Linked DNA regions of Elephas maximus indicus. The protein of the gene in region 2 interacts with the protein of the main gene of each other region in a pairwise test. Links are inferred from orthologs where the notes say so. Each region holds a gene or a part of one and is shown on either strand. Other genes may lie near its edges.

Region 1 (10,994 bases), on a different chromosome or scaffold from region 2:
TTTAATATGTCTAGCACATAGTACATAAGTCCTCTTAAGTGCGGCTGAAAAAGAAGTCTGAAAGGTTTACATGTAAATGAAGATGAGGACTGTTACGGATTGAACTGTGTTCCCCAAAAGTATGTGTTGTAAATCCTAACCTCTATGCCAGTGGTTATAATCCCATTTAGGAATGGGTTGTCTTTTTACATTAATGAGACAGGATTAGTGCAAGCTGTGTCTTAAACCAATCTCTTATGAGATATAAGAGATTAAACAAGCAAAAAAAAGTAGCAGAGATGGGGTTAGAGAGATGCCAAGTAACATGAAGATCACCCAGGAGCAGAACTCAAAAGGGACAAGAACCTTCCTCCAGAGTCCACAGAGAAAGCCTTCCCCTAGAGTCGCTGCCCTGAATTTGGACTTTTAGCCTCCTAAATTGTGAGGAAATAAATTTGTTTGTTAGAGCCACTCACTTGTGGTATTTCTGCTATAGCAGCACTGGAGAACTAAGACAAGGGCCTCCTCTGACATGACATGTGGGGGCCCAAGTCCAATGAGTGTGAGTTGTTCAGTATAAGGTATAAGCAAGGTTTTCATTAAAAAATGGCCCTCACTCTCGTTGGCCCGTGTGTTATCCAGAAAGGTCCAGAGTGGTCAGGGAACATAAAAAGGGTTCCTGCAATGGGTGGCAGGTGTGTCTCTTTAGTCCTTTTCCTCACCCAGGGTGAATGCTCCAAGACCTAAGACAAGCATATGCTGCAACTCACATCTTCTCCCTTTCCTTCCTAATGTACTGTAGCAGGCTGGGGAGGGAACTGGAGTCAAAACCTCTGAGCATCACCACTCCCTCAGCCAGCCACCAATCTCTCTCAGCTTTTGGCTCTCCCCTCAGTCACACTGTGGTGACAATACTTTGCCTGGTTAGCTCAATAGGTCCTGGAGAGTTAGATGAGATGATATGCAGGTAAGTTAAAGTACTTGAAAAACTCTAAAGCACTATACAGAAAATAGTATTAAAATATTTACTTCACTGCGGACTTTCAGAATTAAACAGGATTTCTGACTTTACATTTTGTATTCCACTTTTACCAAAATTGTAGAACTAAAATTCAGGTGGAAGAAAGGGAGGGAGAAGGTGAAGGTGATAGAACGGAAGGGGAAGGAGAAAGAGGGTAGGGAACAAGGGAGGGGAGAGGGGAGAGGAAAACAGAGGGGGAGGAAGAAAAGGAGAGAGAGGAGTCGGGAGAGAGGAAAAGATGAGGGGAGGGGAGGAGAGGGGAAAGGAAAAAAAACCACAGTGGTGGGAAGAGAGTGGTTTGAAAGTGATAGAGAAGGGGAAAATTGACCTTGGCAACTCTTTAGAGGAGCACTAGGTTATACTAGCCCAAAGAGTCAATCCCCCTCCATCATAAGTTGTTGTTAGTTGTGCCGGAGTGGCAACCCCATGTGTGCAGTGTAGAACCGCCCCGTAGGGCTTTCAATGCAGTGACCTTTTGGAAGCAGATGGTCAGGCCTGTCTTCTGGAGTGCCTCTGGATGCATTTGAACCTCCAACTCTTTCAGCTAGTAGTTGAGTGCTTAGCCATTTGCACCACCCAGAAACTCCTTCCGTCATTAGAGCAGACTGCTATTTCTCTGGCTGAAGCACTTCTCTTGAATGTAGGGCCCACGATGTTTAAAAGAAAAAAAAAGGGCACTTAACTACGATCGCACAGAAGATGCTCACATTGTGAAACAACACATGGGCACTGAGACCAGCTAAAGGACTGCAGGTTCTCACCTCCCATCTCCAGCTGTCACTGGGGAACACCCTAGAATGGAATGGAAGACTACTTAACCTCTATTGCTCATGGGGTTAAATTCCCATAAGTTGAATGTATATATGAGGCCACTCTGATGTACACAAATTTAAAATCATGCCCAACCAGGGTTTACCCTTCTGGCACTTGGTTTCTGATTAACTGTCAGGGAAGTCCAAGGGATGCTGGGTGAGAGGAAGGTCCTGGCATCCAAGGGGCACTTTTTGGGGTTCTACAATCCTGGACAAGGCAGAAGGAAGTCACCTGTGACAGCACGGGCATCCTGAGGGCTTCTGGTGGGCTTTTCACAGTACCACCCTCTAGGATCTATGCAGAAATCACACACTGTAGAACCACAGGAGGTGGGGGAAGGTGTTGCCGCCAAGTGCTGGAAGCGGTGACCACAGAAAACTAAGTTCAACCCTTACAGGAACTCAAAGGCTTCACAGCTGTTTCCTGGCAAGCAGGAACACAGATTAACCAAGAGGCTTACTCTAAACTCAACTAAGGAAGGTCTCAGGGCCTGACCACACCTGAAATACGGAGGGTTAGAAAGTGGAGCAGTGTCTGTACTCATTTTACTCAGGTCTCTCTGCTTCCACTCTCAAGACTCTGTACTCATTTAACTGCCTAGGGGCACAGTTCAGATCCTGTCACTCCTCTGCTCTTTAAAACTCTCATTCATTCATTCGACAAATATTTACTGAATATCTACTTCGTACTGGGTGCTGTTCAATGGCTTTCCCTCACTCTCTCCAATGCATCTCCTTTTCAAGCCTTCCTTGCATGTTACAGCTTTTTGGTCTGTTTTTTCAACATGTCAAGCTCCTTCTTACCACAGGGCCTTTGCACTCACTGTTCCCCCTCCCCCGCCTGTGACACTCTGTAGGTTGGCTCTTTCAATCACTGTCTCAGTTCAAATGCCGACATGTTCTCAAAGAAGCCTTCCCTGACCACCTCTCTAGACACCCTCTATCACACAACACAACTTCTTTCATAGCACTTACTGCTATCTGAAACATCTTATTTTCTCTTCTAAGGCCTTCTTGCCCCACTAGAACGGAACCTCCTCAAGGACAGGGACTATGCCCCTGTTGTTCACTACTCACAATGGGACCTAACAGGCCCTCAGTAAATATTTGTTGAATAAACAGACAAAGGAGTTATGGGAAGCCCATTTTAGGGCATCTCCAAGCCTGTTCTATGTTACCTAAGCCACACCAAGTACTCTTATATTCCACTAGACAGCTGCTGACACTGTTTCATCTGACTGCCACAGCATTCATGAAGCACTCTTCAACTGGCAGGGCCTCAAGAAGTTAGAATTAAGTAGCTGTTAAACCGGATAATAGGAAGCCAAACTCCAGAGTGACTGCAAACAGGGCTGGGTTGTGATACCACCATAACTAGCTGGCTGCCACAGGCACCACTGTACCCCCAGTTCATAGCAACCTGGCAGGGGCATTATTCTGATGAGAAGTTATCCACAGCTGTCTAGCCTGACCCAGCCTCCCTCTCCTGGGAGTGTCTGTTGCTAGCGTCTTGATCAATGAATTGACTCAGCACTGTTCAAACTGAAACCAAAAGCTAGGAAAGGATGTGCGGTATCCTCTATCCTCCAGGGAGACCCGAAGACCCCCCAATGCTTTAAGTGTCAAGGGCAGCTTGTGATGGGTCACTTCAGTTAGATTCCCTCCATCCAATTCCTTCTACTCTCCACCCTAACTATCAGAGAAGGATGGCTTCCTGGAATACTAGAGGAGCTTGAGAGAACAGCAACATCATGGAAAGATGGACTCCCCCACACTGTTCCACTTAGGTGACCAACCCTTTCCCAATACTACTGCTGCTAGTGCCTTGAACAGCCTGAAGATTTCAGTAACCATGCTGCAGGCCTTTAACTCCCTTCTCTCCTGTGGCCCTCTTTGCCACCTCTATCAGGGGCCTTCCAATCTCACCCCATGTGGGAGAATCTCCTTGGACAACTCCTCTACCAGGCATCTCAGGGTACAGCCTCATCACCCTAAGGGGGTCACTGAGTCTCCCCCAAAGCCTGCACTTTCACAGTCTGACTCTCTTGCCTCTGGAGAATCTTCCCTAGTCACTCCTTACCCCATGTTAACCCTGAAACAGACCCTTTGGGGCCTGATCCTCTGGTTTATCTTAGAGTAGTACAGCAGGAAACCCAGTCTCAAAATAAGTGCTACTTCCTTTGACCTCTCTAGGGACTGAAACACTTTTGTTCCACCCATAAAGTGTAGCCCTTATTTCTCTCCTGTCCTTCCAGAAGAAGTGGGGGTTTGCTTAGCTTCCCTTCCCCAAAAAGCCACCACAGAGCTCCCATTTCATTTATTCCTCTCCCCACTTCCACCTCCAGCCAATGGGGGAACTTCCAAGCTGAACCCATATCTGTCCCCAGTATCCAAAGATGTGGAAAAGAGTGACGCACAGTCTCCACAAAAGACACTTCTAGGGTATACTTCCCTCACCCAAACAGGGAAAGGTTTTTCTTCTCTAAAGGAAACATCTCTGGAACCTAACCTTTTCCCATTCTCACCCGTTGCAGAGAGGCTCCCCTCAGGTGACAATCCCCCAAGCAGGTACCCCAGAGCTCCCAACTCACTTGTTCTCCCCGACCCGATGTTGGAGGCTTCTAACTCCAACTCAGAGCTTACCTCCTAAATTCTAACTTGGAGGAACCCATTTGTCTCCTCAAATAGGTGTCTAGTAACGATGGGGCCATTTCGTATCAGTCGCCTGGACCAGATTCCTCTGGAATCTGACTCCGTTTCCCCCTCTCGTTCATCCTGTGGCGATGCCCTTAATCCTCCCCAAAAGCGGCCAACCCAAGGCTCCCTCTTCTACTCAACATGGAGATTTCCTCTGCTAATCCTATCCCCAAAGCTGACGCTGGAGCCGTCCCCCTAACCAGTAGGGTATCCCCTCAGTCAGTCCCTCAGGATTCTGTTCCCTCTTCCCACCCATCCTGAGGGGCTTCTTTGACGTCCTCCCCAAACAGACATACCAAGGCTTCCCCCTCACCAGGACCTCCCGCACCCAGTAGTGGACTTCCGTCCGCCCTGGGGCGCCTCCTCGTCCCCTAGGGAACACCTCGATCTCCCCAAAAAGGCCGCCAGTCTCGGCTTCCTCAGCAGTGCCCTCCGGGCTCGCCCGTCATCCCCACTCCGGCTCTGAGCAGCGCCGCAGTGCACCGGCAGTCCTCCGAGCGGGCCCCTCACGCCACCCGGGGGAGCTTCTGGGTCTGGCCGCGCCGCCCACAGGCCCCTCAGGCCCCCGCCCGTGCTTCCGGCCACCGCCTGCTCCTCCTCCCCATCAGGCCTCCCCGTTCGCCGTCGCGAAGCCCGGCGGACCGAGGCAGCGCAGAGAACCTGGCCCGGCCGCGAGGACCTTTGCGGGTCCTCGGTCCCGGCCCGAACCCGCGCGCCCTCGGCCGGCCGGGCCCGGCACCCCAGCTCACCCGAGCCCGTGGTGGCTGCCATCTTGCGTCGCTGTCGCTCGAAGGCCGGCCCCTTCTTCACCCCCCAAACCCGTCCCCTGGCCCTTATGCGCAGGCGTGCGCGCACGCGCAGACGCCGCCACTGACGCCTGCTCGTAGGACCCGTGCGGCCCTAAGCCGGGAAGATTTTTTTTCCCTTTGCTTTTGCTTTTAGAGAGGAGTTATTTGCTTGGGCGACGATTCGGGAACCTTCAAATCCCTCCGGGCTATGGTGCGAAGGAGGTATTGAGGTGCTTGGTGAGAAGGCCAAGGGGGATCAGACTTAAGACAAAAAGTTAATTCCTATTTGTTTTCGAACATTTTCCTAACTCTTTGGATCCTTACATCTATATCGGGTGGGGGTGGATGTAAAAAATGAAGCTGAGAGAGGTTAAACGATTTATCTATTCAGCTGTTAAGTGGTTGAGTCAGAATTTGAACCTAGGTGAGATTTGCTTCCAGGGTCGGTGTTTCCCCGGCAGAGGAGGCTTGTAGAGAAGCAGCTAAATGCTTTTCTGGGGGCATTGAGCTGGCAGATAAAGCATTCAATTACCTATCCATTCAAACGCTATTAATAAGCACCTACTATGTGGCCGCCTTGCTAGACTTTGGGGATGGACATACATCCCTGAAGAAGCAGGTCACTGCTCTCAAGAGGATTACGCTCTAGTTAGAGGAGACAGCAAGTAAATAAACAGAACATTTCTGCTCTTCATAATTATGATAAACCAGGGAAGGGGAGCAGGGAGTGGTCAGGGAGGGCCTCCTGAAGAAGTCACATTTCAAGTGAGATTTGAATGATAAGGAGATAGAGGAGACAGCAAAGGCCCTGGGGACGTATATTTGCAAATAAATACTGAATCCCAGAGGCTCCTCCTTTTTCAGAAGCCCTTATATGGATGTGCAAACAGGCTGAGAGGTGAAGGGACTGGCTCAAGGTCACAGCTAAACACTGGTGGAGCAAGGACCAGGACTCTACCGAGGAGCAAGGAAGCTGGAAGAACCTCGCCCAGCACAGCCACCTTGTCCTGACAGCAATGTTTCCTGAGCCTCTCTCTACTCCATCCATTTCTCCCATTCAGAGCAGGCTGCCCTTGTCTCCCACTTGGAGACAAGGCCTTCATGGTCCATTCTCCATATGGCAGAAGAGTTCTGCTAAAGCTTTCAGTGGCTCCCCATTCCCTCTGGATAAAAGACACTACAAGTTGAGTGACCATAAAATTAGTTTTCAACCAAGACACTCATCAGAATGAAATGGGGCCTATTATAATCTCATTGGCACAAGCAGGAACCCCGACTCTCCCAGAAAAATGAGGATGGACGTCCACCCTACCCTCAAGGGCCAGGGGACGAGGGTGTAGCCAGCAAAGACCGTGCTGTTGTTAGGTGATATCAAGTCGGTTCCGACACATAGCGACCCTATGTACAACAGAATGAAACACTGGCTGGTCCTGTGCCATCCTCACTATCGTTATGCTTGAGCCCATTGTCGCAGCCACTATGTCAATCCATCTACCTGAGGGTCTTCTTTTTTGCTGACTCTTTACCAAGCATGATGTCATTCTCCAGGGATTGATCCATCCTGATAACATGTCCAAAGCACACGAGACTTAGTCTCCCCATCCTTGCTACTAAGGAGCATTCTGGCTGTATTTCCTCGAAGACAGATTTGTTCGTTTTTTTGGAAGTCCGTGGTATGTTAAATATTCTTTGCCAACACCAAAATTCAAAGGAGTGAGTTCTGTCTTCCTTATTCATTGTCCAGCTTTCATATGCATATGAGGTGATTGTGAAGATGCTAGGGTGCCATATTTAAGAAGGCCGTCCCTCTCAGGTCTTGACCCTGCATTTGCATGACCCCGAGAGTGAGTGCCTCAAAGTTTGCACCCTAGGCTCCTCGCCTTACCCTAGCTCCGGCCCTGCCTACACCTGAGTCTTGCTGGACTTCTCCAGCTACATTAGCCCTTTCGGAGGTCTCTGGAACACAACATGTCTTCTCCTTCCTCAGGGCTCTTTGCCTGTGCTATTTCCGCTCTTGAGTTCTCAGATCCAGCATCCCTCCCTCAGAAAAGCCTTCCTGATTTCTCCAACCAGGTCAAATTCAGCTATAATTGGCTCAGAGCACCACATGAGTCTCCTCCCCAGCACTAGCCACACGCAATGCAACTTAATGGTCATCCATGTATCACGTAACTCAAGCCTCCCTTGCCCTAGACTTTGAGTGACGCCAGAGTTTCAGCAGGGAACAGAAACATTGGGCTTCTAAGGTGGACTCATCTCTGGAGTGAAATTGCCAGAGTTCGAGTCCTTCGCCCCTCCCTTTCCTGTGTGACATTAGGCAAGAGACTTGAACCTCTCCTGGACTCAGTTTTACCATCCGAAATGGAGGATAATAGTATCAACCTCATTGGGTTGATGTTGAAATAAAACGCTTTCACGTAGGGAGGGGGAGGGGGGCCACTAGAAGAGTTGGCATTTACCAAGCCATTATACTATGCCGCTTTTGTTGCTCACAAGAACTCGATGTGGCAACTCCTAGGAACATTCCCATTTTAGAGATGAGAAAACTGAGACTCAGCACTAACAGGTGAAGTGAGAATTAAAACACAAGCCACTTATCCACGATAATCATAAAGGTCTACTCGCGGAGAATCCTTGGTTCTTGTAGATTTCCCGCAAGCAAAATTAAGAGAGAATTCCTGTGCAGGGAATCCTACTAGCTTGTTCCCAAAGGCTGAGGCCTTCGCAAGAAGAGGTTAAGCGGGACGCCCCGAAGCATGCTGGTTATTGTAGTCCATCGGCGGCGCGAAGCCTATTGGGAGTTGTAGTCCTCCATGTGCTCACGCTCACTCGGCAAGGCTCCGCCCCCCACCCCAAGCATCTTCAGCAGTTCTCAGAATGGGATTGCTTCTCGGCGCGTGTGGCCCATCACATCTCTGCATTTAGCCTGGTAAAAGTAATGAGGATAACGGAGTTTTGCATTTAGCCTGGTAGATTTAGTAATGAGGATAACGGAGTTTTGTTTTATCGGATTGTAGGGAGGATTAAAATGGTTAATAGAACTAAAGAATTTTGAAGAGGGCTTATTTAATCCTCCATGACCCAAAGTACCTGTTATCATTTCCATTTGTCAGATAAGGAAACTGAGGCTCGGAGGAGTTGGAAGACTTCCCCAGGGTCACACAACAAGGAAGGAGTAAAATCAGGAATGGAACTCAGTTCTCTTAACCCTGGGGCACCACCTGTGGGACCTGGGAGGTTGCAGGCAGGACATGAGCTGGTTTGCGTTTTTTAGAGAGTACAGCCTGGCTGCCTCAGGAGACTGGATCAGGAGGCTGAATTGGGCGGCAGGCAGCAAGTGGAGGCGGCGAGTCCAGAGTGGAGGTGTGGAGGTCGTTGACTGCCAGTCTTAACCGCCACATGCCTGCCCTCCCTCCCTGGTTTTGTTCAGGAGGCAGGTCCCGCTCCAGGCACGAGTCACGATTGGTCCAAGCCAATTCCCGCAGTGCCACTCCTTTCGCCAGTGATTGGTCCAGTGGTATGCTTGTGACCCAGTTCTGGCCAATGGATTGGGGAGAGAGCAGAGGTTGGAAAATTTCCCTCCCGAAGATACAAAAACAAAACAAAAAAACAACAAAAACCGTTGCCATAGAGACCATTCCGACCCTTGACCCTTAGTAGCCATATATGGGAGGGTAGAACTGACCCATAGGGTTTCCAAGGAGCCGCTGGCAGGTTCAACTTTTGGTTAGCAGCTTGAACTCTTAACCGCTGTACCACCAGGACTGAGAGAAATTCCTTCTTGTCCCCTTCCATCCTTCCTACCATATAAAGTTGTGATGCTTGGAGCTGTGGCAGCCAAACTGAGACCATGAGGTACAAGCCTGAGGCCAAAAAGATACACACTGAAGACTGTAGCCCAGAAAGATGGCAAGAGCCAGGTCATGGATGATGTGGTTAAACTACTGAATTAATTTTGGGACTGGCTTCCTAGACAGGTAATGTCTTTATTGCTTAAGCTGCTCTTAAAGGTAGGTGTTACCTTCAGCCAAAAGCATACCTAACAGATACAGGAAGCTGGCACATTGAGGCAGTGCAGAGAGACATACAGGCCTGGACTGTTCCAAGGTATTCATTCAAAAAGTCTGTTCTCAACGAGGTGGGAAAATACCTGGCTGTTCTGGAATCTCTAGGGTCGCTATGAGTTGGAATCAACCCGACGGCACTGGGTTTTTTTAGGATGTGAAAGGCGTGAGTACTTTGAAAAAGTATGTTCAAAACAGAAATATATTCGCTATATTTGTATTATAAAAAAACCCAGTGCCGTTGGGGCGATTATTTGTATTATAGTCTACATAATCTTCAATATAGTTTATAAAACTTGTATCTTATTTTTTACAGCAATGGTTTCCAAACTCTGTGCACAGCAATCACTAAAATGCAATTTTTTTTATGCAGATTTTGATTATGTGTGTGTGTAGAGGAAGGTCGCTGAGACTCTGCATTTCTAACAAGTCCCCAGAGGATGCCAATGTTAATCCAAAGATTGCAAGGTTATGGATAACATCATATAATTTTATGTTTATATTTTGTATTTATAGTTAAGGGAGGAAAAAAAAACCCAATGGAATGCTCTGGCTTTTTAAATGCAAACTAAAGAAAGTAAAGCTGACAAACTGTTGACAGGAGAGGTCACGGGCACCTAGAAGACCAAGAGTAAAATCCCTGGGAGGGGGTCTGTGGTTGTTAGGGTGTGTGACACATTTGCTGGTAATACCTTATGGCACACTCATGGAGCCATGTATGCCTGGGGTGTGTCTGATCCACAGCATTAAACATAAGTGTGATTTTCTCTGAGAAATGAGTAGATATTTTATTTGAAGTTAGATCTTGTCATTGTGAAAATATACTACTGAAGAAAGTTGGGAGTGTGTGGGTAGGGGGTCGTGGTACAATTCATTTACTCACTCCCCTCTTGAGGGACATCTGAGTCCTTTCCGTTGTCTTCTTCCTATACAATTTATTTCTGTAATATCTGAGTTTTGTTCCATCTGTTACTTTTTTAACAGATGGCCAGAAAAAAAGGAATAAGAACCAGGGATGGGGGGGGGGGGGACGAGAAAAAGAATAAGTTTCCTTAATTTATAAAGAGCTCTTGCAACTTAAAAAAAGAACAGCCCAAAAGAAAGTGACAAACATTTATTGAGCATTTTCTATAGTCTAGGCACATAGTGTTTTGCACATATTAATTTATTTGATCCTCGAAACAATCCTATGAGGTAAGTATCATTATTTCCATTTTACAGACGAGGAAACTGAGGCACATAGAGGTTAAGTAACTTGCCCAAAGTCATGCAGCTTGTAAGTGGTAGAGCTGGGATCTGAACCCCAAGCTCTTAACCTGCTTCCAAAGAATAAGCAAAGGACATGAACAGAATTAAGAAATTCAAATGCCTTTTAAACTCACAATAAGCTACCCAGTCTCATTCAATGTGTTGTATTTCAGTGATTCCAAGATGCAAATTTTTATAAACATCTCTGAAATCAGGATGCATCTTACAACCGATGACATCTTGTTGTTATTGTTGCTGTTGTTAGGTGTCATCGAGTCTGTTCTGACATACAGTGACTCTGTGCACAACAGAGCAAAACACTGCCCGGTTCTGCGCCATCCTCTCGATTGTTATTCTTAAGCCCATTGTTGCAGCCAGTGTATCA
Region 2 (10,471 bases):
CAGTTTCCCTTGCATCTTCCACATACATCTGGGTAGCAATAATGCTGCCATTATAACTCAGATGATAAAGGTCAAGGGAAAAATCAGCAGTCTTCTCTTGGGGCACCTCCAACTCATCTCAACCAACTCAATTTTCCGTTGAGTCCTTTCTTTGCATTCACGTGTGTTCATTTAATCATGAGCCTTGGTGGCACAGTGGTTAAGCATTCAGTTCCTAACCAAAAGGTCGGTAGTTCACATCTACTAACTGCTCCTTAGAAACCCTGTGAGACAGTTCTACTCTGTCCTACAGGGTTGCTATGAGTCAGAATCAACTCAACGGCAATGGGTTTGGTTTTTTTGTTTTCTGTAAGCAGATCTTAGGTAAAGTATAAAAGGGGATGAGAATCTTGGGGTAACTGACAGAGGCTGCTTAGGGTCACTAAAATCCGGCATGGCAACATAGTTCCCTTCCAGCATTGCCTTCCTCTCATAAAACAAGTGCCATTCATGAGTGCCAGGCACCTTTCATAGATTATTTCTTATTCTCATAAAAGCTCTATCAAGTATTATACCTCTTTATAAATCAGGGAAACCCTAGTGGCATAGTGGTTAAGTGCTATGGCTGCTAACTGAAAGGTCAGCAGTTCGAATCCGCCAGGTGCTCCTTGGAAACTCTATCGGGCAGTTCTACTCTGTCCTATAGGGTCGCTATGAGTCGGAATCGACTCAAAGGCAGTGGGTGGGTTTTATAAATCAGAGGCTCAGAGAATCTGTCCAAGGTTTCAAACATGGTAAGCAGTAGAACTGGGGTTCAAATCCAGGAGTGTTGACTCCAAGCCATAAAACCATGCTGACTCAAAAGATATGTTATAGAATTCCCTGGCTGATTTGGCTGCCAATGCCTCTAGGAAGAGTCCAGCTAAGAGGCTGGTAAAGGCACCTAGGGATGATTTTTAAATCTAATTGTTCTACTAGAAGACATAATGGAGAGAGTGTCACAGGTGTGCATAGTCAATGATCCACTTCAAGGGTCCTGTAAACTTCTCGCTACCACCTAGAAGTTTAGACATATAGGCTCCAGATATGGATACATGGGCTCTTAGAGTTGGAAAAGCCTATCTAATAAAACTATTAAAACTCTGGAGTTAGACTTGGACTGTCATCCCAGCTTTGTCACTTGCTGTGTAGCTTTGGGTGAGTCATTTAACCTATTAGTTTTCTCATCTGTAAAATGGGGCATAACAACTAGATTGTTGGCAGGGTCATTGTCAGGATTAACTGAGATAACACATGTGGAGTACACACACTTAGCACATCCCACTGCCATCGAGTCAATTCTGGCTCATAGCCACCCTACAGGACAGAGTAGAACTGTCCTGTAGGGTTTCTAAGGCTATAAAGCTTTATGGAAGCAGGTTGCCACATCTTTCTCCTGCAGAGTGGCTAATAGGTTCAAACTGCTGACCTTTTAGTTAGCAGCCAAGTGCTTTAACCACTGTGCCACCAGGGATCTTTTACTTAGCACATAAGTGACAAATGGTAGCTATTTGTAACAGATTGAGGCAGATAGGACAAGTCCTTGTCCAAGGTCACACAGTAAATTAGCAGGAGAGTAAGGACACTGGACTTCAGGCCTCTGATTCCCAGGCCGATTCAATGCTCATTAAATATTTCCCTTGGGGAGGGTGAGGTATTCCAGCTGAGTCTCTTGCCCTCAGATCCAATCCAGCTGTTTCTGTGCTGGCTTCAGCAATGCTTTAAGTAGCTTAGTCTTTGAGCTGAGAGAGCCAGTGTGGCTATTCTGTCCCAGGGGAAAGAAGCCCAAAAGAGATCATTCAGAACAGTAATTACTCTCCTTTGGTTTGATGGCCTTCAGCTTCCTGCCTTCCCTGCTATGCGGTTGTATTTTTTTTTAAGCCAAGGGCCTCCATACCTCACCCTCTGGTCCCATGCACCTCATCCTGCTTGCTAACCTAAGCTCCTCCCCTTATCCACCCATTGGTCCTGGTCTAATAGCAAACCAAGAACAAAGTCCACGGTTACTCCCTACCTAATCATATAGAATACCCCTTCTAGGGTTCTGTTTGATATTCACTGATACCAACTGGACAATCCTCCTTTACTTTGAAGGGGAATGGGCTGAGATAATAAGACTAAACAGGCCCCCACAAAAAAAAGAAGCAAGGAAAAGAGAGAATATACAGCTACAGAGATCTGGATATGAGCCTAGCTCTGACTTCACTGCTAGCTATGAAACTTTGGGCAAGTAGCTTCCCTTTTCTAAGCTTTAGTTCCCTCATGTGTAAAACTGGATATAATAGAGACACTTAATAAGACTGTTGTGAAAACTGGAAAAGTGGATATAAAAACTAAAAATTGCCAAATTTATTGTATATTTGCTATATGCCACACACGGGGCACCCTGACTCACTTCACTGAATTCACACAATAATTCTATGATGTAGGTCCTGTTAAGAACCCCATTTTACAAATGAAGAGCCAAGGCAAAGAGATTAAATAACTCACTCAAGATTACTAAATCAGAAGAAACAGAGCCAGCATTAGAACCTCAGATATGACTCTACAGTAGGGTTTCTTAACTTTGGCACTATTGACATTTTCAGCTGGATAATCCTTTGTTCTGGGGGCTTTCCTGGGCATTGTAAGAAGTTTAGCAGCATCCCTGGCCTCTTCCCCCTGGGTGCCAGCGGTACCCCAAACCCCTATTCTGACAGCCAAAAAACATCTCCAGACATTGCCAACTGTCCCCTGCTGGACAAAATCACCCATAGTTAAGAACCACTGCTCTAGAGACTTGCAAAGGATTAAATGCTGAACCCTGAGCTCCCTTTTTCTTGCCCTTCTCCCAGCCAAAACAAACACCTCATTCACAAAGCCACTGACTCTTTGGTTTTTAAATGGGTCCTAATTATTATTATTATTTTTTATATACGGGGTCACTATGAGTTGAAATCGACTCGACAGCAACAATTTCTTTTTTAATAATATGATCTAATTCAATCCACTTTATTTAGCTGATGAGGAAAATAAGGCCTGAGATAATGTTTCACTCATTTCCCTGGACATCTCACACACTATCTGCTAGCACCTCCATGGTGCAGAGGTAGGGGTAGGGAAGACAGGACCTAGAAGGATGGCCTTGAACAGTTTTCTGCTTTATCCTCCCTTTCACCAATATCTTCTCCCCAAAGTCTACCACTTTCAGCTGGCCCAGGGTCAGAGTGGAGTTAGTGGTGTACCATGCCAGCCTCATGACAAGGGATATTTGCTGGAAAAGTGAAGGAGATTCTGCCCCTCTGAGGGGAAGTCATGCTTCTTCAGGAGTCCTGATCTCTGATGATCTATAACTTCATTCCTGAACCCCTGAACTCATACTCATATATACACTTCCATATTACTTCTAGGTTCTTGGGTCCCCAAACTCCTTTTGCTTCCCATGTAGAGATTTCAAGAAAATTCTTTTAGCAGCCCAAGTCGCCAACCCACAGACCTATTCAGAGTCCTTTAATTCTGCAACCTGTTCAATCCTCTCCAAATTGTGTTCCAAACCATCTCACAATACAAGAGTCTAACCTTTTGGGCTCTACATTGCAACCTTCGCCAATTCTTCACCCATGCATCCCAAATTCCTTTGATAAAGACCCCTTAATCCGTTTCCAAATCTCTGAAGCCTTCAGCCCTGTACCCCAACTCCTTCCAAACACCCTGATCCCACACCTCAGATTTCTGCTCTCTCTTGATCTTATCCTCCATTCTCTGTATTCTACCAGGCACTGTGCCATCCTCAAACCTTGCTCCTTCTCCTTTCACCCATCCCATGTCATGTGTTGCTTTCAAATCTTAGCCAGGTCTCTTCTTTTTTCTAACAAGATGTTGCTTCCCTCTGATTCCCCCAAGAACTCCCCACTTCAATTTTTCCCAGATCCTACTCAGGAAAACCCTCCCTCTTTAGCAATTAGGATCGCCTCAGACCCTGCTCCTTTTGATCTCAGATCTTGCCCTGCCCAAACAAATGCCTGGCGTCCCGAGATTTCCTCGAATCTCCTGAGATGTTGCACCCTAAATCTCATCAGGGACCCCGATTCCCTCTTATTTCCGAAATCCTGCACCCCCAAACCCTTCCAAGGCCCTTAGATTCCCCGAACCTACCAGATGCTGCACCCCGTCTCCTCCGGGCCCCCGTATTACCTCATACCTCCTGAGATGTTGCACAGCAAGTCTTCGCACCCCACCCCACCCTCGCCTCCGCCCCAAGCGCTGCATCTCCCCTGAGATCTTCAGCCACATCGAATCCCTCCGGAGCCTGCCCCTCACTGCCCCACCCCCACCCCCACCCCAGAGCTACTCCTCAGATCCGATCCCCAGACCCTGCTAGTCGGGCGCGGGCCCAGCCTCTACACGCCAGCACAGCCCCCCTCCCCGCCGCTCAGCCGTTGTCCGCGACTCGGGCCAGGGTCTCTTGTCCCCGACCCTCCTGCCCGCCCCCTACCTGACCTCCCGCAGCTCCGACGCGTCCACCGCCGCCAGCCCACCCGCCCCCGCCCTCTGCGCACGCGCCGCCGCGCGCTCCTTGACCGGCGCCGATTGGCAAAACCGCCTGTCCTTCACTGGGCTCCGCCCTCCCGAGGCATGCCGGGGCTTGTAGTCGGGCTAGCCCTAGCTCGGGGCTCTAGGGCCAGGTGAGAGCAAGAAGTGGGGCTGTAAACCATGCTTAATCCAGTTTTCTGTCTCCATTGTGTAAATTAAGAAACTGAGGCCCAAGGGCATATGGGTCCTGCCCATATCCACTCGACGAGTCAGGAGCCAAACCTGCAGGCGCGTGACTGACTCCAAATCCCAATATCTTAACCCTTTCATTAAAAGGCGATCACCAGGAGTAGTTCTCCTTTGAGCCTGGGCAACTCAGAGAAAAGCCTCTCTGAACCTCAGCGTCCCAGTCTGAGAAAAGGGTCAAGGCAAGAATAAAACTTTCATTCTGGGGCAGGCACAGAACCTGGATTTCTTAGAAGGGCAGTGCCTGGTTTCCCTATTTCTATGACACACTGCTTATTAGAGACAAGCTTATCTGTAAACAGTTTTCTATTGTGAAGGAGTTTTTCACCTACTCAGAAGGGAGGCTGATAGCAGAGGTAGATGCGGAGACACACACTACAGCTCCTGACCCTGCAGACTGAAGGGTAGACCCCTCACAGGTGGGAGGCAGTCTGACCTATTGCTTGACCAAGATCTGCAGCCAGTTAGATTGTTTGAGTCCAGCTACCTGCCCCTGCAGATGACCATACTATAAAGTTATGGATAATACTATATAGTTTTGAAGTAGGATGAGCTTGGGTTTAAAATCCCATTGAGCTATGTGATGCTGAACAATGATAAAACAACCAGCAAGGATTGTAGAACATCCTTTGAGCATTTAATGTCTGACTGCAGGTATGGTGAGCACTTCATAGACATAACTCACTTACTCTTTACCATGACCCAGTGAGAAAAGGCAGCTGATGCCTAGATGGTTGAATAAGAAGGCCACATGCTTATTAGTATCAGAGCCCAGATTTTACTCAGTTCTGAGAAACTTCGCTTTTTAACTTTTTTTGTTTTTAATCTCTAAATGGAGATGAGGTTTGCTATACGGATTAACTGAGATTATAGAAGTATAATGGTTTGTACTTAATTAACGGTAGCTGCTTTTTTAAAAATTAAGATCAGCTCTCACATCCTCCGAACTGCTGGTTTGAAAAGCCTCAGCTTCTGGAATATTGAGGCCAACAGGAGCCTGGCTTGGTGTACTTCATGGCATGTGCTGAACAGGCCTGGTGTTTCTGGACTCACGGGTTGCAATAGAGCTCTGAGGCTCAGGCCCCAGTGATGAACTTGCCATCTGGGGTTTTAGCAGATAGGCCAAGTATAGGTTGAGTTCAGGACTGGACTGAGGAGGGAGCCCAGTCTGGTACTACAGGGCCCAGGGTAGGTTTTGCTCAGAATTGGCAGCTGGTGGGTGCAGACAAAAACCTCAGAGGGCCAGGGGACCAGGGTGCTTGCTTCTCCCACCTTCCTGGGCTCCTGGGAGTTCTGAGGTGTTCATTGCATGTTCAGCAAGCTGCAGGAGTTTCAAGTTGATGACTTCTCATGCAGCATATACAAGGTTGGCCTTAAGTTATCTACTTACAGGTGATCTTCTCCAGACCTGTGAACTCCCTGAAGGGCAATGCCTGTTCGTAGTCGCACCAGCTAGCACAGAGCCCAGCACCTAAGAGTTACTAAGTGAGTCAGATTCTGAAATGTGACCTTAGGCAAATCACATGTCCTGTGTGACCTGGGGCGGGGGGGGGGGGGTCAGTCAGGTAAGAGCTGCTGTTTTTCGAGCACAGGCAATATGCCAGGCATTTCACATATATTGTCACAAGTCGCAATTAGTTTTCTCAACAACTTTTCCAGTAGCTATCAGTAGCACCAGCTTACAGAAGAGGCAACCAAGGCTCTGAAAGATTCACTAGTTTTCTTGTAGTCATTACCTAGGAAGTGGTAGAGCCGGGCTATAAACCCAGGCTCATCAGGCTCATGATATGCCCCATACAGTCACTGAAAGACTATGCCCACATATTATGACACCAGCTATCTTCCTATTTTATTAAGTAAGATTTGGTGTAAGAGCGAAAGAATTCATAGTACTTGGAAAAACAGAATAAAGGGCAAATCTTTGCTGTCATTTTGACCACAGACTGTGAGCCTGCCAAGGCAAGGGCTCTGGGATGAGCTGTTCTGAGCAGAAGCGTCGGAAAAGAGCAGGGATTATGAGTTGGAATCTACTCGATGGCAGTGGGCTGGGCTTCTAGGTTTCTGCCATGTTGGAGACTCAGTGTGGCCTGCTCCATAGAATGGGCAGGGAGCCCCTCTGAATGGGGCCTGCAGTATTTCTCCCAACCCCTGTATTGCAGGTGGGGGATATGGGAGGGTTGCTGTCAAATCATTTTTTCCTGCCCTGAGACCTGAGTTATATCCCCTTCTCAAGTAGGTGGTGGTGGAAGGGAGATTTAGCAGCCTGGTTGCTGAAAACCACAGTTATCAGCCCAGAGTTTCAGTTAAAAACTGTTCATATATATATACTGATGTTTCCCCAATCACAGAAGAGAGCTCACAGTACTCCTAACAGTCTGGGGATGTAGCTCAGGCATGCCATTTAAAACAAAAACAAAACACCTCTCTTTTCCCTTAAAAAACAAACAAAAAAACAGTGTTTGCTTGATGGTGTTTTTTTTTAATGTTTAAATTACTTACAAGTTCAATTAATTACCACATGATCTCACAGTAAAATAAACACTCCGGGGATATCACTCATTTTTTGTCCTGTGGGTTTGCACAACCTGGCACAATATTAGCATTCCTTAGACATGGATACATTTAAAAAATATTCTTTGTGGAGCACTTTAAATATTCTTTATTCAGCACTTTAACGTAACATACTCTGACTCAACATTTAAACCATTCTATGAGTTAAGTATTGTTTTCTTCACTTACAAAGGAGGTTCTTAGCTTAATGCCTTTTTTATTCTCTTCAAAACGGGGATAACAATAACTAACTCAGATGATTATCAGGAGCGAAATGAGATATTGGATGTAAAAAGCTTAGCTCTTTGCTTAACATGTAGAAGTGTTCGTTATATTGCATTTATTATTATGATAAATACATTTACTTATTAAATACATCATTCTGTAGTGAGAAGAGCAAGGGGTTTGGAGTCAGACAGATCTAGGTTAGAATTTCAGCTACACTCACCTGCGAAGTTTGTTAGGGAATAGAGGAGAAGGTGATTTGAAGTAATGCTTGGTAACTTTTTGTAACTAACAAACGTGTAACCTTGGACAAGTTATTCAGTCTCTATTTACTTAACTTTTCTCCTCTGCAAAAGAGGTATAATAGTAGTTGTAGTAGTATAAAATAATAGTAGTAGTATAAAAGTGGTTCCGTGGTAGAATTCTCACCTTCCATGCGGGAGACCTAGGTTCAATTCCTGGCCAATGCACCTCGTGCAGAGCCATCACCAGTTAGCCAGTGGAGGCTTGGGTGTTGCTATGATGCTGAACAGATTTTGTCAGAGCTTCCAGACTAAGATGGACTAGGAAGAAGGGCCTGGGGAGATCTACTTCCAAAAATCAGCCATTGAGAATTGAATGGATCACAACAGTCCGATCCACAACTGAACATAGGGATTGCACAGGACTGAGCGGTGTTTAATTTTATTATGCACAAGGTCACCACGAGTTGGGGGCCAACTTAATGGCTGACAGCCAACAACAACAACCAGGTAGGAATGTTGGGAATGTTAGATGGTTTAATAGATCCAAAGGACTTAGAACGCTGCCTGATAAAGAATAAGTGCTGAGTGTTAGTTACAGTTATCATTTTTTACTGTCATTATCATTATCACTATGACTTTTCTCAACAAAATATTCTCCCCCCCCCCTTTTTTTTTTTTTTACCATTTAGCAACTGAAGTTTGAAGGGGAAGAGACATTTCTTGATTATATAACGTAGGGAAGAAAATATAAGGAGTTAAAACACTAGTACATCCTAACAGAGTTTGTCTGAGTCTAGAGGTTTATAATTACTAGCACTCCCATGAAGTAATATAAAATTATATCTGTCTCTCTGTATTACTTATCTATTACTCCATAACAAATTACAAGTTTGTAGCTTAAAACAACACACATTTATTATATTACAGTTTCTGTAAGTCAGGACTTCAAGTGCAGCTTAGCTGGGTCCTCGGCATCATGGCCTCTCATAAGGCTGCAATCAAGTTGTTGGCCAGGGCTGGAGTCTCATCTGAAAGCTCAACTGGGGAAGGATCCACGTCCAAGCTCACTTACGTGGTTGTTGGCTGAATTCAGGGTTGTTGAACTGAGAGCCTCGCTTCCTTGCTGCCTGTTGGCTAGAGGCTACCCTCAGTTTCTTGCCCCATGGGCCTCTATGTGACAGCTTGCTTCATCAAAGACAGCACAAGAGAACCTCTTAGCAAGACAGAAGTCATGATTTTTTATAATCTAACCACAGAAGTGACATGTCCTCAATCTCTATTCTATTGGCTAGAAGCAAGTTGCTCAAGGGGAGAGGATTATACAGGCTAGTAAATACCAGAAAGAGGGAATCACTGGGGACCATCTTAGTGGCTGGCTGCCTACTTACCTGTCTGCCTAGCTCCCCTGTTCTCTTTTTCCTTTCCTTCCTCCCTTACTTTTTCCTCCCTCCCTCCCTATCTTTTTCCTTTTGTCCCTTCCTCTCTTTCTTCCTCCATCTCTCCCACCTTACTTTCTTCATTTCTTCCTTTTTTCCATCCTTCTTTCCTTTCCTCTTTTGTCTTTCCTCCATCTTTCCCTCCCTTCTTCTCTCCCTCTGTACCTTTTCCCCTCTTTCAGTGCTTCTCTGCCTTTCTTATTATCTATCTAACTGTCTAATTGGTTCTACTTTCTGTTGAAACTCTGACCTTGATCTCCATATGCCTTACACAATTCATGTATGTTTCCCTGTCTAGCCTATGCATGGTACATGATAGGTGCTAAATAGATATTTGAATTCAATTTAACTTTACAGAATCAAAGTATACTTAAAAAGAGCCATCTTTATCCACCTGCTAGCAGATATATAAATGCTGAACAGGTTTCAACAGAGCTTCCAGACTAAGACTGACCAGGAAGAAAGGCCTGGTAATCTACTTCTGAAAATCAGTTAATGAAGGCCCTGTGGATCACAATGGTCTAATTCACCTTAACATAACCACTTCTATTTTACAAAGTCCTCCTTTAATCTCTTCATCCATACTTACAATCATACTAGGTATTTAACAAATGTTTTTCTAATGCATATAAAGTTCGATATTTTATTTACATAATACAGGAGAATGTTTCAAATCATATTTCTCTGGTCTTCATAGTATTAAACTGGCTACATCCAAATGAATCAAGTTGACAAGCCCATCTTTGAACATGTAACCATCACAAATAAAACTGCATAAATGTCCTTGGGCGGGATTTTTTTTGGGGGGGCGGGGTGGGGGTATATTTTCTTGAGTTGATATTAAAACAGCTGACTCAGAAATGGAAGCTTTATTTTATTTTACCATCTTATACATTTGTGTGCAATTACCTTTATCCAATTTGTGGTGGTGTGAACTAGTGTGGATGGTCAAAGGTCAGCAGTAATCAAACACTGGCTAAGTATGTGCTTAATAAGTGTCAGTAGCATTGAAGGCTTGCCCAGAGAACACTCTCCATGTAGTGTCGACAACATCAACTCAATTCAATGCTAAATGAGGGCCAATGGGAAATTTCCCATGAGCCTTATTCCTGCTAAATCCCACATCCTTTTTCAGTCCCAAACCAGATTTCCTGAGTCTCTTGCTTCCAGGGTTTCAGCCAACTTTTCTCTTTATTGGTGGCTACTATAATATTTTTACTATTACTCACCAATTAATAG

The links. The genes of interacting proteins can lie anywhere in the genome.
Region 1: the proteins of TRIM32 (region 2) and UBE2V1 interact in binary tests that used the Homo sapiens proteins (3 or more experiments, as listed by UniProt). The link is inferred for Elephas maximus indicus from reciprocal best matches to the Homo sapiens genes TRIM32 and UBE2V1.

What each region holds. Positions count from the first base shown.
Region 1 is NC_064843.1:19,546,835-19,557,828, reverse strand, and holds the start of UBE2V1 (ubiquitin-conjugating enzyme E2 variant 1), read right to left. Parts: upstream 4,782-10,994; 5' UTR 1,597-4,781; coding exon 1,473-1,596; intron 1-1,472. UniProt on the Homo sapiens protein: Has no ubiquitin ligase activity on its own. The UBE2V1-UBE2N heterodimer catalyzes the synthesis of non-canonical poly-ubiquitin chains that are linked through Lys-63.
Region 2 is NC_064827.1:66,201,658-66,212,128, reverse strand, and holds the start of TRIM32 (E3 ubiquitin-protein ligase TRIM32), read right to left. Parts: upstream 4,549-10,471; 5' UTR 4,493-4,548; intron 4,166-4,492; exon of another isoform or gene 1-4,165. UniProt on the Homo sapiens protein: E3 ubiquitin ligase that plays a role in various biological processes including neural stem cell differentiation, innate immunity, inflammatory resonse and autophagy.